Linked DNA regions of Notamacropus eugenii. The protein of the gene in region 4 purifies or fractionates together with the protein of the main gene of each other region. This does not show direct contact. Links are inferred from orthologs where the notes say so. Each region holds a gene or a part of one and is shown on either strand. Other genes may lie near its edges.

Region 1 (6,803 bases), on a different chromosome or scaffold from region 4:
GAATTGGGGGGAGGGGGGTCTCAGGTAGCGTGGCAGCACACCTATGGGGATTGCTTTGCAAGAATGCTGGCTCCGGGCATTGGGTGGCTCTCCCGCTTCAGTCTCGCTCCGGACTGTTCAGCCACCGTTAACTTTCCTAAAGCAGATCGGTTCGTGTCCTGCTCCTACCCGGTCCCAGGCCCCTCCTACCTCTCGGGTATTACTCTGCGATCAATCCTAGGAGCCCGCTATTAGCACAGGAAGACGCTCAGGCTCTGGGTGTCTCCAGCCCCTAGGCCCTGCTACCCCCTCCCCTTCTCCAGGAAGCCTTCCCTAGCCCCCCCCCCCTTTTCATTCAGGAGTCTTCTGTTTCTTGTTCGCATCGTTGTCACCCCCAGTACAACTGACGCCTTAGTAGCTTTTGCCCTTTTTGTACCCTTAGCACAGCCATGGGGTCATGGGGTTGCAGGGGGGCAGAGGTAGCTTGCCAACCTGTCCCAGGATGCCATCTGGGGCGGCAGGAGTCACCTGCAGGGGCCCACCGGGTCCCTTTCTCCAGATTCCTCCCCCAGTGCCGGCTGCAGAGGCTGGGCTCGGCAGCTTGGGGGACACATCCAAGGCTCTCAGAGGAGATGGTCCCTGGGGCAGTGCTTTGACTATCCTGAGGGACTCAAGGGCTGAGCTGGCACCCCTCCTCCCCCCTCTCCCTACCTCCCTCGGGGCCACAGAAGACAACGGCCACTTCACAAGTTAAAGAGCTTTATTCCAATGCGATAAACTTTGGGGGGGCTGTGCATTTAATCCTCCTCCTCGTCGTCGCCGGTGCCCGCCCCTCCCTGGCCCTTCTTGGCATTCTTCCTCTTGACTCTGCCAGCCCGGCCGCCCCCGTAGGGCGAGCGCAGGGAGAAGTCGATGTGCTTCTGCGAGTCGAGGCGCACGATGAAGGAGGGGATGTTCACCACCTGCTTCCGGACCCTGCGAGGAAGGCTGGGAGGTCAGCGCTCAGGACGCCGCGGCTCCTGCTCGATCCCTGGGTGGAGTCGGCAGCCCCTCCCCCTCCCCGCAGGCCCTGCCCCCTCACCTGGGCTGCCCCGCACCTGAGCGCGGCCTTCACAAGGTGTACGGCTGGGCCGCAGTGAGCCTTGCGCAGGGCTGGGGAGGGGCGCCGGCCCCGCCCCAGCTAACTGTGGCAGCGGCTGGGGCGGCCCTGGGGGCTCAGCCCGGGGTGTCACCTGCGGGGGCACACGAAGCCCACCTGATGTGCCTCTGGCGGATGAGCACGCGCGCGTGGTGGATGGACTTGGCCAGGCCCAGCTTGAAGACCTGCGTCTGCAGGCGCCGCTCCAGGAAGTCCTCGATCTTCAGGCCCAGGATGTAGTCCAGCTTCATCTTACCTTCGTCCAGGACGCCGATGCGCACCAGGCGCCGCAGCAGCGCGTTCCCTGCGGGCGGGCGGGGTTAGGGGGCACGCCGCGGGGGAGGGGGGGCGCCCCTCCCCCAGCCCGGAGCGGGGCGCTGGGGACACGCCGCGGGGGTGCCGCCCCTCCCCCAGCCCGGAGCGGGGTGCTGGGGACACGCCGCGGGGGTGCCGCCCCTCCCCCAGCCCGGAGCGGGGTGCTAGGGGCACGCCGCGGGGGGGGGGGGCGCCCCTCCCCTCCCCCAGCCTGGAGCGGGGTGCTGGGGACACGCCGCGGGGGTGCCGCCCCTCCCCCAGCCCGGAGCCGGGAGCTAGGGACACGCCGCCGGGGGGGGGGGGGGGGGGGGCCCGCCCCTCCCCTCCCCCAGCCCGGAGCCGGGAGCTAGGGACACGCCGCAGGGGGGCCGCCCCTCCCCCAGCCCGGAGCCGGGAGCTAGGGGCACGCCGCTGGGGGGCCGCCCCTCCCCTCCCCCAGCCCGGAGCGGGGTGCTAGGGGCACGCCGCGGGGGTGCCGCCCCTCCCCCAGCCCGGAGCGGGGTGCTGGGGACACGCCGCGGGGGGCCGCCCCTCCACCCCCAGCCCGGAGCGGGGTGCTGGGGACACGCCGCGGGGGGCCGCCCCTCCCCTCCCCCAGCCCGGAGCGGGGTGCTAGGGCCACACCGCGGGGCCGCCCCGCCCCCACCTCCCGGCTCCCCGCCCCCACCACCTTCGAACAGCCGCCGCGGGTCCTTCTCGTCCAGCGTGAGCAGCTCCCGCGCCGCCTTGCGGATCTTGGCCAGCGTGAACTTGACCCTCCACACCTCGCGCTTGTTGCGGAGCCCGTACTCGCCTGGGGGGAGGGGAGGGGAGCACGTGGGTGGACGCGCCCCCCCCCCCCCGCCTCCCCCCAGACCCCCCCAGCCCCCTCGGCCGCCCGCCCGCCGCTCACCGATCAACTTCAGCTCCTGGTCCAGCCGCGACTTCTCAAAGGGCCGCCGCGGCGTCACGTACGTCTTCCGACACACCCAGCTCCTGGCGACCGGCATCTTGGCCTAGCGGGTACGGCACGGCCGCGCCTGCGCGTGGGGGCGAGACACGCGGGCTCGGAAGGGCGCTCCGGCGCCTGCGCGCGGCCCGGGGGCGGGGGAGGGGAGCGGCCCGGGGACCAGGCCGAGCACGGGCGAACAAGGGGCCGAAGGGGCGCTCCGGCGGCCGCGCGCAGAGCGGGGCCTCGGGGGCCGCCGCGAGAGCTCCGAGCCCCGTCCCTCCTTCCCTCCCGCCCTCCCCAGCGCAGGCAGCCGCCACTCACCTGCTGCAGTTTCACAACTACCGGGAAAGGGCCAGGCGTGCCGGCGTGCGGCTTTTATATCGCCGGGGCGGGGCCGGTGACGTCGGTGCGCGAGCGCGGAGCCGGCCAATCGGAGGCGAGCGGCCCGGACTGGCGGGGCCGGGCTCGGGGCCTGCCCGGCCCTGGTCCTGGCCAAGCCGCGGGCTCCAGCCCAGGTCTGGTCCGAAACCCCGATTGGAACATGGGCGTGGTCTGGACCGGAAGGCCGCCGGGCGTGGGGAGCTCACTGCCTGTCCCTCGGACCGGAAGGTCTTAGGCACGTGCAGCCGCCATCGGCCTCTGGGCACCTTCACGGCCCTACCCCTGGGGCTGCCCCTCCCCCAGCCCCCATGCAGGTCGTCCGCCCCCCCCCCAAAGGACACAGACCTGGACCCCGAAACCGCGAGCCTTCTGAATGACCCTATCCTGGGGTCAAGCTCCCGGAGGCGCGCAACCCCCGGAGCGCTGCTCCAGCTTTGGGGGGGTCGGCCGAGCAGTGGTGCCCCTGTTGAGGTTTGGGGTGCTCGGGACCCCAAAATACCGACAGGCCGGGTCGACCCAAGCCTTCCTTCAGCCCGAGTGAAACTTTTATTGGTCGTCCTCCATGTTGGGCTGGCTCTTGAGGGGCCTCCCACGTGCCACGGGCCGGCCAGAGGGTGAGCACCCCGATGGAGACGAGAGAAAGGCTGAGGGAAGAATCCAGACGGGGCCGGGCAGCCTGGGGCTCCGGGGATGCGAATCTAGGGAGGACCTTGATGGCCGGCCCGCAGCCTGGAGCCCCGCCCCCCGGCCCCGGTGATCCCAGGCCAAGCCCGTGTCTCCATGCCCCTTCTGGGGATCCCACCAGGCCCTGCCGCAAGGACCCGGCAGGCCGGCCACCGACCCCCCCCCCCCCCAGGGCGGAAACCATCCACCCGCCCCAAAGCTGAGCTCCCCCAGGGCGGGGCCGCTGCGTTTTTGTCCGTGCCCCCAAACTTCCCGCGGGACCTATTGACCTATCCACAGGAACCTGAATGCTTTAGGGTTAAGGCTGGTCCTCAAGAAAGAAAAGAAAAGGTTTCAGAGATTAAAATTTACATCCCCTTTGGGCAGAGTGCCCCTAGGTCGCCCCACTTAGTGTGTGCTTGGGCCCTGGTTGGCACCGCCTCAGTCAAACTGGGATGGGTAAAAGACCTTAGCTTCAAGGTGCCCCACCACGTCCTGGGCCATCTCCGGTCGTCCAGATCTACACCTGCCCACCGGGCCCAGACGTTCCGCTGAACCGGCCGTGGGATCCCACCGCCCAGGCGAAATCTCCCTAGAGTTGGTCACATCTTCCCAACTCCTCAGAAACGCAGACTGTTGTGGGTACGGACAGCAGGCTGCCCGTGGGATTGCAGACCACGTGGCTGTGGCTTCATTGGGCTGTTCTCAGTACGCACCGAGGGATGCGCTAGTGGGAGGGATCCTCCAAGCAGAGCACACACTGATGCTGGGACAATAAAACCGCAAACATCTGACCTTGCACTTGGGCTGATTTAGGTTTGGGAAAGATCACATCATGCTTCTCTGGACTTCTCAGTAACGTGTGGACAAAACCTGGCTGGAGAGCGTGGGAGACACACACACACTAATAAATGAACAAATTTATCTGCTAAATAATTTTCTTTAAAATAAAGGGGATGCTTTCTTCAGCTATTTACAATCACCTTCAGTGATAAGGAGTCTTTTCATATGTGGTGTGTGTGTCCATCCTTCGTCGCCAAAGGCCATGCCACTTGCACTTGACTTTGTTTGGAGTCAGGGAGGGCTGTGCAGGTCATCAGCCTCACTTCTCCAGAGCTATCTGAATCCAGTGACCAGGTAGTCATCACAATGACCAGAGATGACCCAGGATGAGGCAGTTGGGGTTAAGTGACTTGCCCAAGGTCACACAGCTAGTGAGTGTCAAGTGTCTGAGGTGAGATTTGAAGTCAGGTCCTCCTGACTCCTGCACTGGTGCTCTATCCACTGCACCACCCAGCTGCCCATTTTCATATGTTATTAGCAGATTGTTTGGTCATGTCCGACTCTCCTTGATCCCATTTGGGGTATTCCTGGCAAGAATAATGGAGTGGCTGGCCATTTCCTTCTCCAGCTTATTTTATGGATAAGGAAACTGAGGCAAACTGGGTCAAGTGACTGGCCCAGGGTCACACAGCTATTCTGAGTCCAAATTTGAACTCCGGAAGACTAGTCTTCCTGATCCCAAGCCCAATGCTCTATCCACTGCTCTACCTACCTGCCCAGCCATCATGAAGGGAAGATTAAAAAAATGATCACTCTCTGGGCAAAGGGACTTGTTTTGTTTTGTTTATAACTTAGGAAGGAGATTTTTTAAAACCCTGCCAAGATATAAATACCTAATAGCAAATATTCACATTGTGCTTTATTTAGGACTAGCACTGGAAGGAACCTTGGAGGTCATGGAATCCAAGCCCCTTACAGATAGGGAAACAAGCCCAGAGAAGGAAAAGGACTTGCCCAGGGTCACAAGAGACAGGATGTGAATTCAAGTTCTCTCCAAATCCAGCAGGTCTACTTCCTCCCCTCCATGAACTCATGACTCCCACAGCAATCAGTCAACAAACAGTGATTGAGCTCCTGCTGGGTACCTGGCCCTGGACTAGGCACCAAGGATGTAACTATAAAAGCCAAACAGTCCCTGCTCTCAAGAAGCCTCCGTTCTACTGGAGAGATGCACATATGAACATATATCCACATGGACATGTTTGAGTGTGTACACGTATACATACATATACACACCATACCTGCATCCATTCTATTGCAGATGTACATATGAACATGTATCTATGTATGTATGTATGTATGATGTGTGCGTACATATAAATATGTACGCACACATATACCTGCATCCATTCTACTGGAGATGCACATGTGAACATACATGTATATGTGTATGTGTATACACACATGTACCTATATATACACACCACACACATATATATGTATATATGCCATACCTGCATCCATCCTACTGGAGATGCACATATGAACATGTATCTACATGTGTGTATATATGCATACATATTTATACATACACACACATATACCTGCATCCATTCTACTGGAGAAATGCATGTACTAATATACATGTATATGTGTGCATGTGTATGTGCATATTCATATCCACATGTATACACACACCACACACACATGTGTATATGTGTATATATATCATACCTACATCCATTCTCCTGGAGATACACACATAAACATCTATTTATCTATATATGTATGTTAAGGTAGGCTCAATTCTCACGTGAACGGTCTTGGGTCAGGTACAGGTGAGGACTTCTTGAGCTCTCATGAGGCCCCCCCAGAGAACAGCTGGGAATTGAGGAGTGAGACACGAGTTATCTCGTTTTCCACCTCTTCTCAGTGGAAACTTGCTTGAGGAGAGCATCCCACCCTTGAGATTGGTTCGTGGTCTGAGCACACCTTTTGTTAATTGGCTAAGGGGCTGAGAGCATGCAGTCCATGAGCGAACTACCAGGGGGAGAGCTTAAATGGGGACAGGAAAGCCTGAGGGGTTGTCGTTCTTCCTTGCTCCTCAGGAGGGAGAAGGGGGCTCCCACAGGGAGCACTAGCCCTGCATACTGACATGTAGCTTGTATCTGGAATAAAGCCTACACCTCTGTTTGACTCTGGAGGTCTCTTCTCTCATTCGTTTATCCGGCTGGCCATGGAAGACCTGAGTTAGGTAAGAGAACCTGGGCAGCCCATGGCAATTAGGCCAGGCATATGTATGCATATATATGTATATATGTAATATATATGTATGCCTGCATCATATAGCTGTATATAAACATACACACATAGTCTATACAAAAGATGAATATAAGGTGATTTGGGAGAGAGGGCTCTAGCACTGAGAGCACCAAGAAGGGACTCCCATAGAGAAAAGCCCCCAACCTGAGTGTGGAAGAAAAATGGATTCCAAAAGGCAAGCGTGAAGAGGGGGCCATTGCTAGGAGGTTTTAGGGTAGCGCCATAGGAAATGGGTGAAAGGCGGTAATGTGCAATAAGTCTGGCCCCTGGAGGTCCCTAGAAACAAAAAGA
Region 2 (7,819 bases), on a different chromosome or scaffold from region 4:
AGGTCCCAGTTTCAATTTAACTACCTGTATGATCCTACACACGTCATTAACATCTGTGCTTCAGCTTTTACCACAGGAGAGAATGGTGATAGCATCTGTCCTACCTTTTTGAGTATAGTACGAACAAAATTAAAATGGAAAGTCCTAAGAAAATAAAATGTACTGTTTCAATAATAATCATTATTACAATTAAAGTAAAACTGGGTTAAAGTCTGCATACCCTTTCTGGCCAAATAAGTATTAGCCAACAGAGGCCAACAGAAAAGACGCTGAGGTATACTGCAAAGATGAGGGTAGAACAATAGTTTCTGTAAAGAATGGAAACATATTATACTCTCCACACTGCAAAAAGCAACGGATGAACAGAAATAATACTTCTCCACTAGACTACAAATCCTAGTGCACGTTGGTGTGCTATTACAGTAACTATGGCAGGAGTCACAGTAAAGTCACACCAAAAAAATCTATTAAGGCTATTTCAGAAAATTCCAAAGTTCAGAAAAAGTCACATTAAGCCCATCAAAAAGAATAAGAGCATTCTTTCTTTTAACAGACTGAAAAAGATTCAATTCTGCAGATTTAGGGAAGATTTAGGTTATTACACAGCATGTACCTCAATAAAGGACAGTACTGCTGCTCAAGCACAACACTTTACAATCTAAAGGAGAAAATAACACACAAGTATAAAGCTGTATAAAGAGAACCAGTTTAAATAAGGGACAACTACCCTAAGAACCTTTAAAATACAATCTGGAAGTAAGAAATACAATGACTTTCAATGAAAAATGTATACCAGAAGTCTTGTAAGAAATGTCAAAATTACTAAGGTCTATGGATAGAAAATAAAAAAATTCCTGAGCTCGTACAACATACCTTTTTACAAAATTATTATATTAACATAAGCTATTTAATTTTTATTCATACACTTAAACTGTAACTCAATTTTAACTTAATTCTTTTGACTTGCAGTGTTCATTACATTTCTTTGTTGGGATTTCAATAAACTTTCCAGTCTGCCCTAAAAATCATTACAACTACCCAACCTCAAAACCTTAGCTCAGTCTCAGGGTGGGTCTAGGGCATTTTTCACCCACTTTGATTTCTAGTATGAATGTTTAATACAATCTCTTTCCTATCCTATAGATTTCAGTAAAAGGGTTTTTGTGAGTTCTGGGTTTAATGTGACTTAATGCATCACTGAATAGGAAAAATACAAGGCTTTTTATACTTCTATACCTCTCAATCACTAAGGACTCTAAAATGTGGTAGCATGCCTCTTCCCTTCTCATATTTTCAAATAAGGGAAAAGATGCAAGACGAGATTACGTGAAATTCAGAAGAAGTCTAAGATAAGGCAAAAGCACTTTGCAACTTTTAATAGCACTCAATAAATCTGAGCTATTATTATTACTAACAAGCTGTAGGAGATTGAACAGGATGGCATCTCGGAAGTTAATTATCAAATACCAACGACAATCTCAAAAGAATAAACTTTTGAATAAAATGTTAAGCAACCCAAGTAACAGGACAAATGCAGGGCAAACACAAACTTCAAGGTAACTACGAAGAAAAACCTGAGTGAGAAAAGACGTAAAGGGAAACATCAAGGACTTCATAATCAGAAAAGGAGGGCAGGCTGTCCGTGTTCCAAGAAAAACAACAAATGGACAACTGGAGTGATACTTTCCTACCCCCGCTACCCAGCTAGTTCACGAACCAGAGGAAGAAGAATTTACGAACAAGAATCATAAAAAATGGGAAGCGCATGGAGAGGGTCTGGGATCTGCTTCAGCCTGAAATCTGCACCAATTACGTGTTTAAAAATCAAAAACTCCTGATATAAAATACCATCTAAAACTTTCCAAAGTTGGCATCCAAGTTTGCTCGAAAAGAGACGACGACCAACAACCCCCGGCAGTGTCTGTAATTGTGACACACGAACGGCTCCGGGGCATCCCGGGCCGCCCCGCACCCTGGGTCACCCGCGCGCCCCGACGTCGCACGGAGGCTGGGCCGGCCGCCGGCCTCGGTTTCCTCGCCTGGAGAACCGGCACGGTCAGAGCCCCGGCCCCCAGGGGGCCGTGGGGACGCGGCTGGGGGAGGAGGAGAGGAGGGGCGCCCTGTCAGTCCGGGTCCCGGGCTCCCCAGCTGTCACCGCCGCCCGGGGGGGAACTCGCCCCGATTCTCACAGCCGAGGGTGGGGGGGGCCGACCCCCGCCCCGGAGGAGCCGGCCCCGGAGGGCCCGCCCGGCTGACTTTGTTCTCCCTCCCCCGCCCCCGCGGCTCGGGGCTCCAGGCAGGGCCTAGCCGCCCGCGGGCTCGGCAGCCGGCCCGGCGCTGGCGCAGCGCACAAAAGGAGGGCGGAGGAGGCGGAGGAGGCGGGGGCCGGCCCGGCGCGTCCGTGCCCCCGAGGCTGCGGAGGGGGGGTGCGGGCGCAGCTGCTCCCCGCGGCGGGGCCCCGGGGCCTGGCCGGCTCGTTCTCCATTGTCTCGGCCGTGCCGGCCCCGCGCGGCCGCCGCTCGCCCCGCTTTCGAAAGAGCCACAACTTGGGTGCGGATGACCTCCGAGCGGGGGGCGCCGAGGCGCGTCCCCGGGCTCCAAAGTTAGGGAGAGGGGCGCGCGTGCTCCGGCCGGCGCGTGGGGACCTGCGGGGGGCGTTAGCCGGCGTCCCGGCGGGCGCCCGGGCTCCGTCCCTCCCTCCCCGGGCTGCCCCGCTCACCTCCATCTCCGCGTCGCCCGCAGGGGGGGCGGCCGCGGCCGGGGCGCTCTCCACGCCGCTTTTGTTGTGGTTGCCGCCGCCGCCAGAGACGGGCACGGCCGGGGCGGGGGGCACGGTCTCCGCGGTCGGCGGCGGGGGTGGCGGCGGCTCGGCCGCGGACGACATGCCTGCGGCGCGGCCGGGCACACGGGTGGCGAGGAGACGCCGGGACGGAGCTCTCCTCCCTCTCTTCCTCCTCCTTCTCCTCCTCGCGGGGCCCGCCGGGCCGGCCGCTCACCTCTCAGCGGGACGCCCGTCGCCTGGAGCGGACGGCTGGGCTCGGAGTCGGGGGAAGGGAAGGGAAGGAAGCCTGGGAGGAGGGGAGGGAGAAGGAGAGCGCGCGCGAGGGGCAACTGGCTGCTTTCCCTCTGCGTCCTCTCTCCTTGCAGGCGCTTCTCAGCCTCCTCGCCACCAACCAGGAACCAATGCCGTCCTTAACACAGACGCCGCCACCGCCGGCTTCCAGTTCTCGCGAGAATGCGGGCTCGCCGGCCGGCCCTCCGATTGGCTGGCCGGCCCCACTCGCTCCCTAGCGCGCGCGCGATGGCCCTTTCCCCACCCCCTCCCTCCGCCGCACGCGGGGCGCTGGAGGGGCGAAGAGGGCGGGTCCTGGGATGCGCGTGGAGATTGGGCGAGCCAATGGGCGCCCGCCCGTCGCCGCGAGGAGCGCACTCGCACGGCCCCCAACGACCCCCCTCCAACGGCCTTCCCCTACTGGTCAGGCGCTGGCCTTTCCTTTGCTGGCTCGCTTCCAGGGGGCCGACGGGGTCCCCGGGCGGCCCACGGCGCAGACCCGGAATCCCCGCGGCCGGGCCCCGCAGGAGTTAGGCCCCGGCCCTCCGGTCAGTCCCCTGCCGTCGTGCTCTTGAGACGTCGTCCGAAGCCGCGCCACCCGGCCCTGCCCGTGCGGTGCGGCCTTCCCGCGACCTCCTCCCGACGCGGACCTGCGTGGGTGTGGGCGCGGAAGTCCGGAGCCCGGGGGCAATACGTGACTCGAGCAGCGCCCCGGTGGGCCGAGGGTGGGGTTTGAACCCAGCCCTTTCCCGGTCCACTTTAGGATTATTCTAGATCCCACGCCCCCTCCGAGGATCCACAAAGTTGTTCCTCACAGTTGGGAGCGCCCGGAGGGACCCACGTCCCCCGAGTCCGGAGCCCCGGCTCCCGGGACCATACCCAGGATCGCGGACTTGGATTTGAATCCGGGGCCTGGGGAGCCCCAGTCCTCCTCCTATGCACCGGCCGGCATCTCCTGTTTGGCCTCGCCGCCCCCAGCGTGCTTCTTTCCCCCTTCCTTTTTCCTCCCTGTAAGCTCAGAGGAGACCCACGAAGAAAACGCAGCCATCGTCGTGAGTGGGGCGGTGGAGCCGCGCCCGGGAGGGCAGGAGGCATCTTCCAGGCAGAAGCTCCTGGAGAGGCGGGAGAGACTGGCATTGTGCGTGGGTCCAGCGCTTCTGTGAGCAGCCTGGCATTGCTGGCCGAAAGGAGCCTTCCGTGTGCCCTCCTAAGCATCCATAACACCTCTTTGGGTGGCAAAGACCCTCAAAAGCGCCCGTGGTCCCCCCTCCATCGCGAAGAAAGCCGTGCCACGGAGAAGGATGGCATGGCTTGTGCTGGCCTCTGTTGGGAGGGAGGGCGGGCTGGGCTGGGATGGCCTGAATGTCATACTGCTGTCACATACATAATGTGAAAAGCCAAAGAAGCACACCGCCCTTCAAGCATCATGAGTGTAGAGCTGGAAAGGCCTTGGATGCCGTCAAGTCTAATCCGATTTTACAGGTGGAGACACTGAGGGGCAGAGTTGGTGGGGGTAGGCCTTCAGTAACACAGCTAGGAAGTACCTGAGGCAGAATCCCAACCCAGGTCTGCCCCTGGCCTTACTGCATCACACTGCCCCCCCAGAATACAGATGTGGCAAACTCCAGGGGCTGGGTGTTGTTGAGTCTTTTCAGTCATGTCCGACTTCATGTCCCTGTTAGGGGGATTTCCTTGGCAGAGATGCTGGAGTGGTTGGCCTTTTCTGTCTCCAGCTTATTTTACAAATGAGAAACTGAGTCAAAGAGGGTTAAATGATTTGCCCAGGGTCACATAGTTACTAAGTGTCTGAGGCCACATTTGGACTCAGGTCTTCCTAACCTGAAGCCTGGCGTTGTATCCATTGTACCACCAAAGAGCCCCAAATAATCTTAGCTAACATTTATATAGCACATACCAAGCGTGAGGCACTGTGCTAAGTGCTTTATGGATATTGTCTCCTTTGATCCGCATAACAATCCTGAGAGGTAGGTACTTTTGATATTTCCATTTTACAGTTGAAGTAACAGGCAAAAAGGTTGAGACTTGTCCAAGGCCTTATTTGAACCCAAGTCTCCAAGACTCAAAACTCATCATTCTATCCTCTTTGCTACCTAAGAGGTTCTATGCCAAAGGTCAGTAAGGGGCACAGTGACGATTCATGCTCGTGTCTGGATCTGAGTTCTGTGTTCTTTCCACTGTTTCACACTTCAGCTAATTCGGAAAACTAACGAATCTATGCACATAAGTAGATAACAATATATTCAAAGTAAACAAGAGAATTTGGGAGAAGGAGGTAATAGTGCTTTGAGGATCAGGAAAGGACACAAGTCAGCACTTAGGCTGAGCGATGAAGGAAAAAAAGCAAGGGACTCGAAAGGTGGAGTTGAGGAAGAAACTCATTCCAGGCTTAGGGTAAACCTGTTCAAAGACAGAGACAGGAAATAAAATGTTGTGTATGAGAGACAGTGAATAGATCTGTTTTAATTAGACTATGGAGTACAAAAATGGAAATAGTAATATGTAATAAACTTGGGAAGATAGGCTAGGAACAGTAAAGCTGATCAAAGGATTTTTTTATTCATTCTAGAGGTCATAGAGAACCAGTGACATGTTTCACTTAGCAATTGTGTAGAATACATGAATAAGAGAGGTGAGAGCCTTGAGGCAGGGAGAACAAGTAGGAATCTATTGTCTTGGTACCAGTGGGACTCGAGAGCCTGAACTAAGGTGGTCACTGGGTAAGTTGGAGAAAGACAAATAAGAGAGAGGTTATGGAGATAGAATCAAGAAAACTTGATAACTGTTTCCATATGGGGGTGTGTGAGGGCATGGAGTCAAGGGGAAGAAATATGATGTGGGAGAATTGTGTTCATCCTTCGTTGCCAAAGAAGGCCATGCCATCAGAGAGATGACATGACTTGTATTTGACTTTGTTTTGAGTGAGGGAAGGGTGTGCAGGTCACCAGCCTCACTTCTCCTCCAGAGCCATCTGAATCCAGTGACCTGATATTCCTCAGGATGACTGGAGATGGCCCAGGATGCACTGGGAGACCTTCAGCCCTTTAGGCCAAGGTCTCATGCAGGAGAAAGGGCATTGAACAAGGAATATATCCAGGTTCTATTTTTACCCAGCTGAGGCAGCTGGGGTTAGAGTGCTGACTCAGTACAGGAAGAGCTGAGTTCCAATTTGACCTCAAACACTAGCTGTGTGACCTTGGCCCCTTGGAGTCACTTAGCCCCTTTCTGCCTCAGTTTCTTCAACTGTAAAATGGGGATAATAATAATAGTAGGTGGTTGTGAGAATCAAATGAGATATTTGTGAAGTGCTTAGCACAGTACCCAGCATATAGTAGGCACTTAATAAATGTTTGCTGGCTTTTCTTCTTCCAGACCTCACCCCTACGCCTTTAGCTCTACCAATAATTAGCCACATGACCCTGAGCAAGTCATCCACCAAATCTTTGAGACTCATCTATAAAATGAAGTGAATGAGCTAGATCAGAATCGTCAGATCAGTGGCTTTGCCCCTACCCCTTGCTACACACCTAAGTTCTACAGGAATCAAAATGTAATTGGGAAATATTTAACAAAATAAGTAAAAAATAGAATATAGAAAATGTTAATGTGTGATTTTCAGTATGTAGCCAGCAGGAATATTTCTATTGGAGTTTGATACCACTGAACCATATTATATCAGATATGCCTTTAAGCTTTTCTAACATTGTATAACTCCTCCTACCCTGAAAAAACTAAGACTAAATAAATGCTGTAATATATGTACTACATAATACTGTCTTGTCTGTGTCTGGTTTTTGATTTGGTTTGGTTTGAGTTTTTTAAGAATAATCACTAAAGTCAGTATTTGTATCTGCCGTTACAGAAAATATTTGTCATCACATTACATTTCTTTTTTCTCCCTTGAAATTTACCTAGGTCTATCCCCCAGGTTGGGATGAATAAAAATAGATCCGTCCCAGGATCTAGATTTTAAAGAATCAAACATCCTCTTGGACAACGCCCTTAAAGACAGCTTTGTGCTGCTTCCTTCTTGCTACATAGGAAAGAGATGTCACTCCCAAGGGTGACTAAGAGAGATCTAAACCAGAAGTGTACAACTCAAATAGAAACAAGACCACTAAGCCATACATAAGGATCCCTACAGCCTGCATATTGACTTAGAAAAATGCATATTAACATTATATTCTATTGTATTTTTATTTTGTTAAATATTTTCCAATCATATTTTAATCTGGTTCACACCCAACTCAGCACTTACTTTAAGTTCTCTTAGAGAACATCCAAGAAGGAGGGAGAGAGAGAGAGAGAGAGACTGACTCTTGGTGGGAGTAGTTTTTAGAGCCAAGGACATGATAAGCCAGCTCCTATTCATATAAGGGAGTGTTACTTATCTATATTCATATATCCTAACCAAGACCACTAATGCTCAGTTGACAAATTCAGAACATGAAGCATTCATCCTAAAAATGACTTAGAAAACTGTTCAAGATATGCACATAGAAATGAAGCCTGTAAAGACAAACCACCCTTTTCCTTTTTTTTTCTTTTTTTATTCAGAATACAGAAGAAAGCCCAGCAGAATGGCTACGTGGAGGAGTGTTTGGTAATTGGCTTGGGAGTTACATATGTTTGTAACTTTCTCTGCAGAGGTGAGAAGACAAAGACCTGAGAGTAGGCTTTCCCAACCCAAAAGGTGGCAGCAATAGGGATCAACATACAGTTCCCACAAAAGTAGACATGCTTGCCCAC
Region 3 (7,517 bases), on a different chromosome or scaffold from region 4:
AGGACAGATAAAAAATAAATCCTGGCTCCTTTCCCTGGGAAGTAGGAAACCATCATCAGATCTAGGGTCAGAGGAATGATTGCTTTCTCTTATTTACTGGCCCTGTCTGAGTTTCCTAATTATTCTGAAGATTTTTTTTGGTCCAATATTCTTCATAAAGTTTTTCCATTTGGACATATTTCCTTTTTAAGATTGGTAGTGCTGGGATTACTTAGAATTATTGAACCTTAGCTCTAGAAAGGTCCCCAGAAATCATCTATGAAGTTCAATGCCTTTCTTTTCCACAGAACGAAACTGAGACAGACCTAAAATTGGCTAAGGCTACAAAGATAGTGACAGGCAGAATACAGTCTGGAACTTGGATCTCTTTACTCCAAACCTAGTGCTCACGCACTATTATTTCTTAAGAGGTCTCCTCCAGGTTTTGATGATTTTAAGGATTCTATAAGTAGAATATGAAGAGACCTAAGAGACCAAGCAGTCCAACCCTTTCTTTTTTACAGCTCAAGTGGCTTGCCTTGGGCCACACAAACAGAAGTGGGTTTGAACCCTAGTTTCCTGACTCTGTAGTCAGAACTTTCCCCACAGTACTGCTGCCTAATTAAAAGACAAAGCTAAGACCCATGAACCAATCAGCACACAGGATTGTGTATTTTTAGGTCACAGGTGATGATGTGCTACTTCTAGGGTAAATGAATAAGGGTTGGTGTTAGAGGATGGCTCCAAGGAAACAGATGGGTAGGATTTAGAGAGGGGAAGAGATCGGGGCACAAGAATGAAAGGGAGAGGGCTAGTTGTAGGAGATCCGGATCTCGCCCACTTATGTTGTTGTTCGGTGGGTTCTCTTCACGACCCCATTTTGGGGTTTTCTTGGCAGACACTGGAGCGGTTTGCCATTTCCTTCTCTAGCTCATTTTACAGATGTGGAAACTGAGGCAAACAGGGTGAAATGACTTGCCCAGGGTGTCTTGAGGCCAAATTTGAACTCAGTAAGACGAGTCTTCCTGACTCCAGACATGGTACTCCCACTTCCACACCCAGCTGAGCACTCTGTGATGAGGATGAGGATGGTGAGCTCCTTGTTTTGAACTAAATGTTCAAGGGACCTGATCCAAACTAAGAAAGATGAGGAGATGGGAGAATGGCAGTGGCAGCCTGGGGAAGACTTGGAAAAAGAGTAACTTACAAGTGAAATTTAATGAGTTAAACGTCCTTCACCCTCCCAGAAGAATCAGACATAACTGGGTGTGCACTCAAGGCCTTCCCCTCAGTTCCATCTTCTATTAGAAAAACTCCTGCAAGTCATGTTTCCAGTCTCAAATATCAACACCTTGCGGTCCCAGAAGCCCGTTTTGGAACAACGATGGCCCAACGGGGCTCTGTGGTGGGAATTTTAACCCCTTCACCAACGAGTTCCAGCGCAGAGCTGGGGGCAGGCATCTCTGTGTGTCCTAAAAAAAGTCTGAAAATTCTATCCCTAAGGTGCATTTCCGAAGTCCGGGGCTGTGTCGTTTACCACGAAATATCTACGTGCCGAGAGCTGCCATTTCCCAGCATTAAAACGTGCACGTCCATTAAGCGAATTTTTTTTTTATTAATTTTTTTATTTTTTTAATGTTTAACAATCACTGCCATACAATTGCGATTTTATCCCTCCCCACCCACCCCCCACTACCTCCCTCCCTCCCCACGACTGCATACAATTCTGTATAGATTCTACATATACTTTCCTATTGAGTATATTTTCACTATAGTCATGCTATGTAGTCAGACTAAGATAAATGAAAGAATCCATATAACAAATCAGAACATGATACACAAACAGATACACATACACAAACATGATCTGCTACATTATGTGAGTGACTTCCATTAAGCGAATTTTTTAAAAAAACATCTCTTGCGGACAGCTGCTCATCTGCTTGCCCGACCTCAGCCAAAGCCCAAGGAATATGGCAGCGGGAAAATCAGAGCCCTCCAGGGGACAATTTTAAAGGACGGAAAATGAGGCCACTCGGCCTTTATTTTTTCTTTTTCCCGTCCTTCCTATCTGAGGATCCCACGGGTGATGCTCACTTTTGGACCATTCCTCCACCGCGTGGGGACGAGATAACATCGGGGAGGTGGGCCCCCAGCCGGTCTCGGTACCCAAGCCCCCCGCCCCGAGCAGCTGCGGAGCCCGCCGTCCACGCGGCCTGCCGAGCCCGCAGAAAGGGCTCCTAACGGACCCCAGCTGGCTTCTTCCCGAGGCCCAGCCTTTGCTGCCGGGGTCCGCAAAACCTCCTCGGCAGGCCCGGAGACGCGCCGGCGCCTACCCCATTCCCGGGGCCTAACAGGATCTTCTCCGAGAAGATGGTTATCGTTTTTAAAAAGGCCAAAAGAAAAGTTTAGGGACCTCCCTAGGTGGGGGAGGAGCAGCCCCGACCCGGAGCTAGGCAAGTGTACACAAAGCGGCCCGGCCCAGCCGGAGGGGGAGGGGTGGGGGGGGTCGCGAAAACCCGGCAGGGGGTAGAGCGCAAGGCCAAGGGCGCCCCGCCCCCACCCCGGCTGCAGGATCGAAGCCTCCTGGGAATGAAGGCGGGGGGAGGGGAGGGAGGGGAGCGGGGGGAGGGCCCGGAGAGCTCCGGCTCACTTTCCCCAGGCCCCGCCGGAGAGGCCACCCAAGGGGCTTCCCGGGTCGGTCCTCCTACCTGCACCATGATGGCCAGACGGAGCGAGTCCTTGGCGATGCTCTCGCCGCATTTCTTGCAGGAGGCGCGCCCGCTCTTTGCGTACTCGGCCCGGTAGGGCTTGTCCGCCGGCTCCGCCATCCTCCCACCGCCTTCTCCTTCCTTCTGTCCTCGGAACGCGTGGAACGGCGGCGCACCACCGAGACTGGCCGTGAGCGTCGGGAGGGGGAGCCCCTGGTCCCCACTTACGCCGCGTGCCGCCTCGCCTCCGCCTCTCGCGCGCCTAGCTTTCTCTCCCGCCCACCGCGGGCGGCCCAGGGAAGTGGGCTTTGGAGTGAGCGCCGAGAGCCCTGCGCGCGCCGCGCCGCTCTCCCGAGATAGATTACTAATGCCTGCGCTTGGAGAGGGGTGGTGGGGAGGAGGCGCGAAGGGGAAAACCCCTCCCTGGGAGGTAGGCGCCTTTCGGGTGGGTGTGGCGCGAGCTGGCCCGAGAGCGTAAGGCGCCTCCTGGCGGGGAGACCCGGCATCGCCAGTCTGCCGAGCGATTCAACTCCGTTAACCTTTGTCAAGTACCGACTACAGCTAGTTTACCGAGACCGGAGGCTGCGGGACCCTGGGCGAGTCCCTTGCTTTTTCAGAGCTCTAGGAAACTGGGGCTACCATCCCCCTCCCGCCGATGTATTTTTTTCTCTTGTTTGGGCACAGCTGTTTGCATCTTTTTGAGAGCAGATATAAGGGTTTTGTTCGCTTGGGTTATTTTTTTTTTGCCTTTCTTCGTATCCCCGCTGCTTTGCAGGGTCTGGTGGTTTTCAGTCGCGTCCGACTCTTCATAACTTCATTTGGGGTTTTCTTAGGAAAGAGGAAACTGAGGCAAACAGGGTTAAGTGACTTCCCCAGGGCTATACAGCTGGCAAGTGTCTGGGGCTGGACGTGAACTCATCTCCTCTGGACTCCAGGGCCCCGCTCTATTCATTAGCCCACCTAGCTGTCCTTGCAAGTAAATACATGCTCCTGGACTTCTCCGCAGGTTCAGACCAGTCCCCCCGGACTAGGGAGGAAACAGACAAAGGCTTACGTAAATACTTGGACCTGGCCCCCTCCCAGCTCAGCCCAGAAAGGAGAAGACCTCGCTGATGGATCTGCATGATGTAATGTGGTGTTGGTTCTTAAAAAGGATCAGTGACATCACCGGGTGACGTCTTGCCTCTTTGATGAACTGGATTTAAGTGAGCTACCAACTCAGCCTTACTCTTTCTTCCTTAAGAAGACGTGTGTGTGTGTGTGTGTGTGTGTGTGTGTGTGGTGTTCCCGATATTGATAGAGGTGATTTCCTCACCCTGGACTTCATTTAGGACTTCAGTCCTTCTCTGGGTGGGAGCCGGAAAGGGAGAAGGGAGGGTGAGGAGGATATACAAAGTTTACATAAGATCCTACCTGCACTTTATCTGGGTGAAAGTGGGGGTTGGCTACGTAGATGCCTCACTTGAGTTTCATAGCAACCAGATGCCCTTTATTGCTACTGTTGCTCTGTTGATTATCTCCAATTTATCCTATATGTATCTTGTTTGTATATAGCTTGTATATTGTCTCCCCCATTAGACAGTGAGCTCCTAGAGGGCAGGGACCGTCTTTTGTCTTTAATTTGTATCCCAACACTGGGATACATTTAGCTATGGGGTGTCCCGGGTCTGTCCCCGGGACCTTCGAGTGAGAATCTCCCTTCGGTGGGCACCGCTTCGGACGTCTCCGGACCTACCCCGGGGGACACGGCGGCAGGCAATAATCAGGCAATGCGCAGGAGGTTCATAGCTTTATTGCATGGAGGAGTCCCACGAGCAGTTCAGGGCGTTGTCTTATATAGGGAGGTTCTTCCGGGCTGCCATCCTAACCCGCCCCGAGGGCGAGGCCTACCACCCGATTGGATCCAGCCCACCCGACCAATCCCGTGGGCTCACAACTCCTCTATGGGAGCCGTGTCTCCCTCGGATTGGTGGGCTGCCACTCCCGGGGAGGCCCCTATCCGCCCAGGCGCCTAGGACCGACCCCCGTCAATGGGGGAGGAGAGGAGGAAGGAAAAAAGGGGAAAAAAGTTTAAACGATAACTTTATTATATATTTAAAAGGAATAGGAAGTCGTACTTAATAGATTTCAGTTTCATGTGCCATCATCTTTTTTCTTCTATGTTATGGAAATACTTGTTTCATTTCATAAATTAAAAATAAATAAAATTTTAAAAATTAATGCTGTTTGATTAATAGTAAGATTATCTGAAGTTGTGACTTGCGCACCCACAATCGCATATGTCTCGACAGAAATGAGATCTGAATACAGGTTTTATTGATCCCAAATCTATTGTTTGATTCCCTACACCAGGCTGTTAAAACCTTGATTGATTTTCCTAGAATAAAAATGCATTATTCCTTTGTTAGCTTTTCTACCCTCCTTTTGTGTATGATGCAAGAATATTGAATGTCGAAAAAATAGAAAAATTGTACACATTTTAAGTTTATTTTGATAATTCTTTGTCTCTGAGATCAAAGATGAAGTGGGAACATCTTATTATCAAGAAATTTACCATCTGTTTGGGAAGGTAGTTCATAAGTGCACTGCCAGGGAGAATGTGAAAAGTGCAAAAGGGAGATCAAAACTGCTTTGAGAAATTTAAAGTGAGAGAGATTCTGTCTAGTTGGGAAGAGTCAGGGAAGTTTCAGGCCCGGGAGATGAACCTCGAAGGAAGAAGATTCCCTCAAGTAGGATGAGGGAATCAGCACTTGCGGGGAGTAGCCCTGGAATCAGGAGGACCTGAGTTCAAACTGGGCTTCAGACACTTACTAGTTCTGTGATCCTGGACAAGTCACTTCACCCTGATTGCCTCCAAAAAGAAAAAAAGAAAGAGAATGGGAATGGGGGGGAGGCGATCTATTCTTGGCAGCGTGAACAAATATATAGAGAAGCAAGAGGTCAGGAAACAGTGAATAGTACCATATAACTAGACCAGGAATGGGGAGGCTACACGTGTCCCTCTAGGTTCTCAAGTGCAGCCTTTTGACTGAATCCAAACATCACAGAACAAATCCTTTTATTAAGGATTAGTAAATAATAAATACTTAGAGGGCCACATGTGGCCTCAAGGCCACAGGTTCCCCACCCCTGGTCTAGCCTGTAGAATATGCAAAGACAGTAGAGTGAGATAATCTTTCAAATACAGGTTATAGCTGCTCTGTAAGGGGAGGTAGGGGAGGCTTAACAAGCTAAGACGTTTTGACTTTATTTGAAGGCAATGGGGAGCCACTGAACTATTATCATCTTCAAGTTAAGGGATGGTAAGGACCTAAATAAGGAAAAGTTGGATGGTGTGGAAATCTGTTGTGAATCAACAACTTGTCACAAGGGGAAAGAGCCCTGACTGAGTCAGAGGGTAGGGGTTCACCTTCCACCTCGGATGCTTATTATCTGTGTGTCCTTAGGCAAGTGATTTAATTCTTCTGGATGCTGTTTCCTCATCTGTAAAATGGGAGAATTGGATTGAAGTCTCTTGTAACTCTAATTCTGGGATCAAACCATACCATTTTATAGGTAAGGAAACTGGAGACCTGCCCAGGTCAAACACAATTAATTCAAAATGAAGGATAAAGGGGAGACAAAACAAAAATGGCAGATTGTTAGTCTCTGTGAGTGGATCCAAGGGGAGAAAATTGATGAACATGCTCAGTTTATGATATATCCAGGTGAAGCTATGCTATAGACAGTTAGCCACGTGTTACATCTTAATGTATATTGTGATAGGTGAAAGATGAAATGACTGGGAAAATAAAGGTTTGAGCTTCCAAGCATATTGATTTATTAAGCAATATGTGCCAATTGCCTAACAAATCAGGACCAGGCCTCTTCTTCAGCTCAGGGCTGGACCCTGAATACTAGAGGAAATAGATTTTTATACACTAAAAACAATCAAGTAAGACCAATTAATTAAAAGGAAACAACCAGGATACATTAGGTAATCTGATTTCTAATTGGATGAAAGATTAAGGACTTTCTAAATTGGGAGGGGGAGAGAAAGCAAGTGAAATTCCCTGAAATTAGAAAAAGAGATGTCTTATTCCCCCCAAGTGCTTGCATTCAACCCAAGTAACATGGGAACAATAACTGACTAATTGGTACGGGGCTAGTTTTCAGATAAGACACATGGGTTACATTGAGATGTATAATTGTGAGAAGATTCCTTGCATCCACTAGGCTTTAGATCTGACCGAGTTCTGGTCGGGATAACCTAGGTCCTTTGGGTGATCCAATTTTCCGTCAGGCAGGGCTAGATTCAAACAATGCAATGAAGTTTTCCTACAATTCCCACAATTGAATAAATGTTTTTTCAGAAGATAGAAAATAGACTAGACCAGGGGTGGGGAACCTCTAGACTCAAGTCCACATTTGACCCTCTAGGTCCTCAAGTTTGGCCCTTTGACTGAATCCAAATTTCCCAGAACAAATCCTTTCATTCGGGGAGATTCCTCACCCCTGAGGAACTACTCACCCTCAGTCTAATAATTGAATAGAAAAGGGACTGAGCTAGCTCCTGAACAGAGTAGGTGGAATCGGTGGGGTTCACTCAATCCCTACCTCCACTTGCTGTTACAATCCCCTTAATTCCCTCAATATCAACATATGTAAAGGGCTTTAAATGGAAAAAGGAGTGGAAGGGAAGAAACATAATAAACAGAGAGGAATGCAAGAAAAGAATCAGCAAAAACTTATGGCCTCTAAAGTCGATATGCAAATATGTAGTTGTTCGGTCATTTCAGTCATGTCTGATTCTTTGTGAACCCATTTGGGGTTTTCTTGGTAAGGATA
Region 4 (8,192 bases):
TCTCTATACCTAGGAAACCTATATTTCACCAATGAGACTAATTGCATCTGACTATACAAAATGAAATTTAATTTGAGATGGGGTAAAAGCAGTTAGCAATGAAAAAAGTCTTCATAGAAGAGAGGGCATTTGACCTGAGTTTTGAAGGAAACTCAGAATGCTATAAAGGCAAAGGGAGGAAATACACCAAAGGTCTGAGGAAAAACTACCACAGAACAATGAAATCCTGTATCTCTGAAATACTGAATTATGAGCAAGTATAATTCCTTACTTGGCTCTACTGCTTATTCACTAAAACTATTAATTTAGCCTAAGTGAGCAAAACCAGAATACACTACTTCCCAAACTAGTAATGGATTTGAAACTTGAGTAATACAAATATAACCTTGAGATGCAATGTAATTAAAATTTATTGTCTTTATTACATAGCATAGCAATTGGGGATAATATGTAGTCAATATTCAGACTTGGAAGTAGTACTTGCAGTACCTACGTAAGAAGAGTAGTGTCTCAGTCAGAAGACTTAGTATGAAGTTCTATCTCTGACACATACTGGTTGTGTTAACTCTGGGCAAGTAACCTACCTTCTCAAGTGCTCTAGGAAACTGGTCAGACTAAGTTGCAAGAGAAAGTGAGGACCTGCATTAGTAAATTTATAATTATACTTAGTGCATACTTAACTATCTCACAGGATGCAAAAAAAATTCTTAAACTTTAAAACATTATATAAATGCCAGTTATCCCAATTTTGGCTCTGAAAAAAATGCATTAAAGCAGAAATCACAAAATATTGTTATAAACCCCTAGTGGGGATATGTGGCAAGAAAAAGTGTGAATTATATAAGATTAGAATCAATGGATTTACCACTTAAACATTGAGCTCAAAATAAATAATCACAGAAAAAAATTTAAGGTCTTACTGTAGGCTGCACAGACATTTTCAAAGATGCCAGTGTTACTTTAATTGGATTGCCTTCATAGTTCAGTGCCTCTGCTTCAACAATATGCAATTCATCTTTTGCACCAGCCCCTAAACTCACCTGTAAAAGGAGAGAAGGAAAACAATCTTTTAGTAATTCAGTTTTAAAAGCTCCTAAATCAACTAGTTACGTGCTAAAGGAACACTGACCAACCAAAAAAATTGCTACCTGCGCATCATCGTAAAAGTTTGTCAACTTTCTTAACTTATAAGCACTTGAGAAAAAAAGCTATGTACACAGCACAAATCTATCTGTATCCATTACTTTCCTTTTGAATACCCACGTACTAGATGTACGGCCATGAGTACTTAAGTAAGATTATTCTTGACCTACTATGACCCAATGAGCTATGCCTTAATTAAAAGTATGGCCTTTAAAGGCCATATCTAAAATGTGGACTTAGATTTTATCCTGTTAAATGAACAAAAGAAAGAAAAAGGTAAATTTAAATAATGAAAATTTACTTACAGTCCTCAAGGACAACTGGTGCTCATTTTCATCATTATCTACCTTAAAATGATAATCTTTGTCAGCCTTTAGTTCACAACCTGAAAAGGAGCAGGAGCCATAGTTTTAACCAGATACCTCATAAATAGCAAACGACTCATCCCTTAAAAACTGAATATTAAGAGAGCTAATACTTGCTCTACCTTCACCTTAAGAGTGCATCGAGGTATATAGGTTTAAAAAAAAAAAAAAAGCTCAGTGAATACGTCATGTTTTTAAATCCATAAAAAAATTAAAATCGAATCATAAATTCAAACAGATGGACTGGAACAAATTTGTACTTGTAATTTTTCCAAAGTGGAATTTTGTATTTTTTTCAGAGGGAGAGAGATCCATTCTGATACACAAACAAGTTGGGCGGGTGGGAGGGGACCTGAATCCTACTTATCCCTAGAGATTGAGTATTTTTTCCACTCTATCAACGTTAAAAATTTACTCAACTGGTTTCATGCAACCAAGAAGCATTTTTAATTTACGAAGGGATGCCTCAAAGACCCCTCCCCCCAAAAGGCTATCTTATCGAGTGAGACAGAGACAAAATGTGCCCACAATGGAAATAGTTGGGTACGCAAATGGCCTAAGTTCTGCAATACAAGCCAGGACGGGTTTAGCAAACCACATGGAAAAAACCAGAGTACATACATCAAACTACTAATGTCTGCTGCGTCCTGAAGTATAAAGCATCCAAGCCAAACTCCGGTTGGTGCCATTTCTATTAAAGACTCATAAGCAGCCATCTCTGTGTTTCCAGTCCCCCCCACCTTAGGCCTTGTGGCGATCCTACATTTCCCCACACACTGCAGCACACCCACGTACAGGACCGCGGAGCCTGGATGCTCCAGAGATGCCTTCCGCCCTCAGCCGAAGGCCTCGAGGGCGCCACGTGCTTCCTGCAGGAGGCCCTGTAGCACCCAGGTTTTCTGCCCACGTGCCCCACCCCCCACCCTCCACCCCCGGTAACGGGCCCAGCAACGGTGGCAACCAAGCGGGTCCCTGCTGAGACGCGGCTGCGCGGTTCTGCCGGTGGCCTTCTTAGAGACGGGAGGAGGCCGAGCTCCACTAGCCTAGACGCAAGCCTGTCGCCGACCCCTCCCTAAGCCCCTCCTCACCCTCCCCTGCTCCACAGAAAACCAAATCCGGGCCTCTGGGCCGTCATCCCCTCCCCCACCGTCGCCAGGCCCGCAGCCTTCGCCTCCAAGGCCCCCTCCGCATCCATCAGCAGCCACCCCACGCCCGGCCTAAAACCCCCTCCCCGACAGCAGCCCGCTACAAACAAGCTGCTCCCCGGAGCTGCGCCCACGGGCCACATTTGAGGAGGCTTTCCAGTCCTCACGGCCCATCTAGGCCCCAGCCTCGGTCCCCAACAAGCCCCCCCCAACACACACATAGGCCCAGGCTCGCGACTGGCCGCCCCGCCCCCAACCCTGCAGCCGCCTCTAAATACACAGCCGTTACCGAAGAGGAAATTCTGGGGCCGGAGGGGGCTCATGTCCATTTCCATGGAGTCCTCCATTGGTGCGGCGATACTGAGGAGAGAAGGGCAGTGTTCAAAGGAGAGCGACGAGGCGGACGGAGAGTGGCTCTGGCTCCCGAGGGGCTCCGATCAGGACGGAATCACACCGAGGAAAGGACGCGGGCTCCCTGCGCACACATATAGTCCCTCACAGATCTCGCGAGATCTGCCACCGTGAGCACGTGCACGTCCGGCCGGTCTCGCTCTCCGCGCGCCCTCGTCTGCCAACCACAGAAAGGGTTTGGTGCGCGCGACGCCGCCTGCCTCCTCCGCCCGCGCGCTCCCGACGTCAGCAGGAACGAGCTCTGCGCCGCCATGTCTTCGCCCCGACCACACTCTAGCACACACGGGCACGCGGCTGGCGGGCTCTCTAGACCCTGGCGCGCCCCCGGCGTGGGGAAACCCGCGCTGCTGACCCTGCGCAAAATGGCGGCGACGCCCCCACCCCCCACCCCTTACCCCCCATTTTAGTACTCTTCTCGAAGAAATCAGCCCGATGTTGGAGAATCCTAGTGTTTTCATCCTACTGACCTGAGTCTGTTTGAGAAAGGCTTTCAGCGTTAGCCATTCACGGCCTTCTTCCTCCAGCCCCAGAGGCCTCGGGGAAGAATCAGGACCACGATCTTTACAGACTGCCGGGGCCGACCCCACCCGTGCGCCCTGTCTGGGCCCAGGATTCCCCGCCTACGAAAGGGGAGCGTTGGCCCCGACGGCCTGGCCCCGTTGCGATTCCACGGCTGCCACGAGCAGCCGAAAGGGCCCAGTGTGGTTGCTGAGCGATGCCGGGCTCTGTGGCCCGCGGCCCAGAGCGCCCCTGCGCCGCCGCGGCCTCTCCTCGGCACGGATGCCGGCCTGCTTCGCCAGTCCCTACTCCGGTGCACTCAGGCAAACCGAGGGCTGGTCCGCAGTCAGGCACCGTGCTGGGGTGACAGCCCCACGAAGGGCAGCGATCATTGCCCCGGGCTACATCGTACTAGTCACTGAAAGCCGGCCATCCGGGCCACTGACCTCCTAAGATGGGTTCAGAGTCCGAAGGGACTGGTTGTTGGGTCGGTCCCAGCTCCTCGCCTCCCCATCTGGGACTTTCTTGGGTTTGCCATTTCCTTCTGCCACTCATTTTACAGATGAGGAAACTGAGGCCAACAGGGTGAAGTGACTTGCCCAGGGTCACCCAGCTCATGAGTGTCTGAGGCCAAAATGGAAGGCAGGAAGTCTTCCGACTCCAGGCTGTCTCCTGGGTGCCACTGAGCTGCCCTGAAGGCATCTTAGGGACCATTTAGTCCAAGCTCCTCATTTCTAAGTGTCCAAAGGAGGGCACGGTCACATGGGTGGCAGACCCAGAATTTTAATTCACATTCTGTGATTCCATTACATAGAATGTGAACCCTTGTCTTTTGATACCAGAACCACCATACTTTTCCTTGCACTAGCCTACTCCCCCTCCTACTGCCGCAGCAGGCTCTGACTTAGTAGAGAAGGAGGATTCGTTGCATTGAATTGTAATATCATGTGAAGAACTCTATGCCTCTAAGGCAAGGTGTTGCTTATGTTGGATGAGTCAACATAAACGTGTATGACTGATAGACACATGAACAAAGCCAAGAAATAAAGATTAGAAAAATGGACAGGATCATACCTGGGAAAGTACATCAAAAGCACATTGTTGCTTTAGTAACAATATTCTGGTGATGCTATGAGGCTCCATTATTATGGAAGAATCAAAATTGCAAATGGTGGGTAAAGCCAAGTTGCATGGTGTTGGCAACAATAATGTACTCCAGAAATGACATTAATGAGGGAAATTAAAGCCATATATGAATGAAATAAGTTATGGGACTGGTCTTGTAGCAAGAATGAGAGACAACAGATTGGCAGTCTGACAAACTGCTTCCTTTGAGGGTTTGTTTTTTTTTTTTTTTTATGAAGGTCTATAGTGTTTAGGACCAACCTTCTAAATGTCTCAGGATGAAAGCTTGAGGAAATGATGGGGTCAAGTAAAGACACAGAATGGTCCACAGGTAGCAAAGTATGGGACTGAACAATAACAAAGACTCTGACATGTTTGTAAACATTGAGCAATAAACCAGCAATCTGGAGGACAAGGAAGGTGACACGAGATAAGTGCCCAAGTGATCAACCGAGAATCCCTACTATTCACCTGGAACTGTGCTAAGTGCTGGGGATACTAAAACAAAATAGCCTCGGCCCTCAAGGAACTTATATTTTATATATGTGATGTAGGCTCAAGCCAAGAGGCCTTAACCTCTCTAAAAAGGATTCCCTCATCTGCTAAGAGTGATGCACGGGAAGAGAGAAGTAAAGATATACACAAGTTGTTTTTTGTTTTGTTTTGTACAGAAGCTTTGAAATGTGGAGTTAGAGGAGATATGGGAACTAGTAACAGCCTTGGTTTACTCAATAACGTAGGAGGCAAGGTCATCTGTTAAGAGGAAGGGAGTGAAAATAGCTTTGGGGGTTTGATGAGAGGAGGTTTAGAACAGCCTTTGCAGAATACATGATAGTCAAATAGGGAAGAATAAAAGGATTCTTGTGCAGTGGTAAAGGCCTACTTGAGATTAGATAATGGGAATATGTAGTGGTCTCAGCACAATAGCATGACTTTCTTCAGTGCCATCTAGCACCTCAGAAATAAGAGTAGAGAAACCACATGGCCTTGCTAACCCAGGACTGATAAATGGCTGGTTGTAGCTATAGAAGGACAAAGAAGAAAGGGATTCAAGGGTATAGGACAGTGCATAGGTGAAGTGCTTACTATATAGGGCCAAGGCTGAAAAGAACGAAGCCAGAATCCTCAGGTTGGGAGAGCAGGGAAGGATAGAAGAGCTGAAGGTAATAGTGAGGCCACAGATAGGTTCAGGAGAATGAAGAAGGAGGGAGGGAGGGAGGGAGGAAGGGATGATGAGAGTGGTGAATTTCAAACCTTAAGGTCATACATGTGGCCCAATTTTTGAGTATGAATTCTGCCTCTACCATCTACACACTAGGTGACCTAGCACGCTATTTTTTCCACTTTTTTTTTATTCGTCTTGTATAAAATGACTAATATGGAAATGGTTTGCATAATTGTACATTATAACCTATATCTGATTGCTTACTCTCTCAGGGATGAGGAAAGAGAAACATTATCTTCAGGAGGTCTTTTGTCTATGAATGTGGAGATGGGTTAACCAGCCCAAACCTGCCCTTCTTATTTCCTTTCTGTTTCCAAACCAAAGTTTCCTTAAGGTTTCTTTGGCCTTTGTGGTAGTGGTGAGGTGCTTGAACCCCAGCCCCAGGATCATATCTCTCTCTCCCCAGTCCAAAGACCCTTTCTCTGGCAGTAACTTCTGGGCCCCCCACAGTGAGGCCATCTCTCCCTGTTATAAGAACAAGCTGACCTCTGTAGAATTTCCCTTGTATGAACAGGATGGTCTTGTACCAGAAGATGCATCATGTACTGATTTCCACATTTACTGTATACAATCCAGAGGTAAAGCTATACACATCAACTCCCCAGGCTATCTTGTTACAGAAGAAGTAGACGAAAAACACACAGCTTAGAAACCCTTCCTCTCCACCCCAAAACACCACTTAGAAGCCTTCTCTCCTTCCCCCTCCCCTTTTCCAGTAGTGAATGACACCTGTGGCCAAGGTACAGGAACTATGTTCCTGTAAGAGCTGACCACTCCTTAATTCCACCCTGCACCACCTAATTAGCATACTTGGTACACCATTCACTGAACTATTCTATATAAGCTTTAGCATCACCCCCATTAAGTTGGAAGTCCCCTAAGGAACTTCTCCTGCTTTATCAGCATTACAATAAACTTTGTCACTTGACTGGAAGACAGAGTGGGTGAATTCATTCCAAGTGACACTGCCCTGTACCCTGACATTTTGGGGGTCTCAGCATCCCTAAACCATGTCAATAGGAACCCAGGGGAAGGACTTTGTCTTTTAGGCAACATAAGTAAAATAGTGAGAGGCAGCATAGTATATTGGATAGAGATATATCTGTTTCTGAGTCAAGAATACTTGGGTTCACGTTCATCTCTGAAGCATGCTGGCTGTGTGATGCTGGACAAATCCCTGCTGTAGGTTGCTTAGGCAGGTGTTGATGTATGTTGGTAGAGGAATGCTTCCTTTTGGAACATTTCCTACGCCAACAAAGACACAGGTCCTATTTTCAAAAAAAGAAGCAACTTGTGTCTCCTTTTTGTCTCTAAGACAGCATGACTGTTCGCTGCAGTAGCCTACCTGGTGGTCCTCCACCTCAAGTCTCTTCCCACTCTAGGCCATCCTCCACTCAGCTGCTAAAGAGAACTTCCCAGACTGTAAACTGTCCACTCCCCCTTCCCCCACCCCCCCACTCCCATTCAATAAACTTCAGTGGCACTCTTACCTACAGGATCATCCTCTGGCTTTTAAAACCCTTTACAGACCTGGCCCCTTCATACATTTCTAGTCTTATACTTTACTCCCCTCTGCTTGTAAGATCCAGCAACACTGACCTTGCTTTTCCTTGAACAAGACAGGATAAATATGATTTACAAGAAACAGCACAAAATGGAGGACAATAATTGATTTGGTTCACAAGATGGAGTCCAATTATAATTACAACTTCATAATTTCCCCCTTTTATTCCTTAAAAGACTTGTCTTTACTAGATCGCTTCATTGTATGGCTAAAGCCTTGGTTATAAAAACAGAATAGCAAAGTTAAAATAAAGCGAATCGTCTAAAAGTCAATTCTATATAGTCATGTTCAGGACTGAGATCTTGAGCTAACATAAAATTCTTAGAAGTTAAATTTGAGCAAGCTTTATAGAAGAGATAATACAACATTGAATACAGTAAGGCAGAAAAACAGTTAGGGGGATTAAGATAAGAAGACATGATTATGGTAGTTAATATGCCCCATCCTAAGAACCAGGAAAATAACCAAGAAAACTAGGAAGGGAGAAGTCCCACTATGTTGTATAATAAATTATTTTCCCCACTGGGCTTTCCCAAGTTTAACATTATCGTAGTAGCAAAAACATAGTTACAGAAGCAGAAAAGATAAGGTATCAAAAGAAGTTAATGAAAACAACCCAAATCCTTATTGTCTACTTTTTTTAAAAAGTTTGATATAATTCAGTTAAAGAGGGGTAGAATGTCAGATAGATGGCAATCTTGTCTCTTAAAGAACAG

What was found.
Region 1: the proteins of NPM1 (region 4) and RPS9 purify together in Homo sapiens (affinity purification with mass spectrometry; 3 studies listed by BioGRID and IntAct, with this or other methods). This does not show direct contact. The link is inferred for Notamacropus eugenii from reciprocal best matches to the Homo sapiens genes NPM1 and RPS9.
Region 2: the proteins of NPM1 (region 4) and SMARCA5 purify together in Homo sapiens (co-immunoprecipitation; 3 studies listed by BioGRID and IntAct, with this or other methods). This does not show direct contact. The link is inferred for Notamacropus eugenii from reciprocal best matches to the Homo sapiens genes NPM1 and SMARCA5.
Region 3: the proteins of NPM1 (region 4) and PARP1 purify together in Homo sapiens (affinity purification with western blotting; 3 studies listed by BioGRID, with this or other methods). This does not show direct contact. The link is inferred for Notamacropus eugenii from reciprocal best matches to the Homo sapiens genes NPM1 and PARP1.

The regions. Positions count from the first base shown.
Region 1 is NC_092876.1:13,041,505-13,048,307, reverse strand, and holds RPS9 (small ribosomal subunit protein uS4), read right to left. Parts: upstream 2,906-6,803; 5' UTR 2,685-2,905; intron 2,452-2,684; 5' UTR 2,422-2,451; coding exon 2,325-2,421; intron 2,226-2,324; coding exon 2,103-2,225; intron 1,422-2,102; coding exon 1,235-1,421; intron 955-1,234; coding exon 777-954; 3' UTR 722-776; downstream 1-721. UniProt on the Homo sapiens protein: Component of the small ribosomal subunit. The ribosome is a large ribonucleoprotein complex responsible for the synthesis of proteins in the cell. Part of the small subunit (SSU) processome, first precursor of the small eukaryotic ribosomal subunit.
Region 2 is NC_092877.1:140,691,862-140,699,680, reverse strand, and holds the start of SMARCA5 (SWI/SNF-related matrix-associated actin-dependent regulator of chromatin subfamily A member 5), read right to left. Parts: upstream 3,272-7,819; 5' UTR 2,885-3,271; coding exon 2,720-2,884; intron 1,868-2,719; exon of another isoform or gene 1,852-1,867; coding exon of another isoform or gene 1,849-1,851; intron 1-1,848. UniProt on the Homo sapiens protein: ATPase that possesses intrinsic ATP-dependent nucleosome-remodeling activity.
Region 3 is NC_092873.1:409,803,110-409,810,626, reverse strand, and holds the start of PARP1 (poly [ADP-ribose] polymerase 1), read right to left. Parts: upstream 3,054-7,517; 5' UTR 2,811-3,053; coding exon 2,691-2,810; intron 1-2,690. UniProt on the Homo sapiens protein: Poly-ADP-ribosyltransferase that mediates poly-ADP-ribosylation of proteins and plays a key role in DNA repair.
Region 4 is NC_092872.1:403,041,416-403,049,607, reverse strand, and holds the start of NPM1 (nucleophosmin), read right to left. Parts: upstream 3,239-8,192; 5' UTR 3,001-3,238; coding exon 2,943-3,000; intron 1,529-2,942; coding exon 1,449-1,528; intron 1,041-1,448; coding exon 921-1,040; intron 1-920. UniProt on the Homo sapiens protein: Involved in diverse cellular processes such as ribosome biogenesis, centrosome duplication, protein chaperoning, histone assembly, cell proliferation, and regulation of tumor suppressors p53/TP53 and ARF.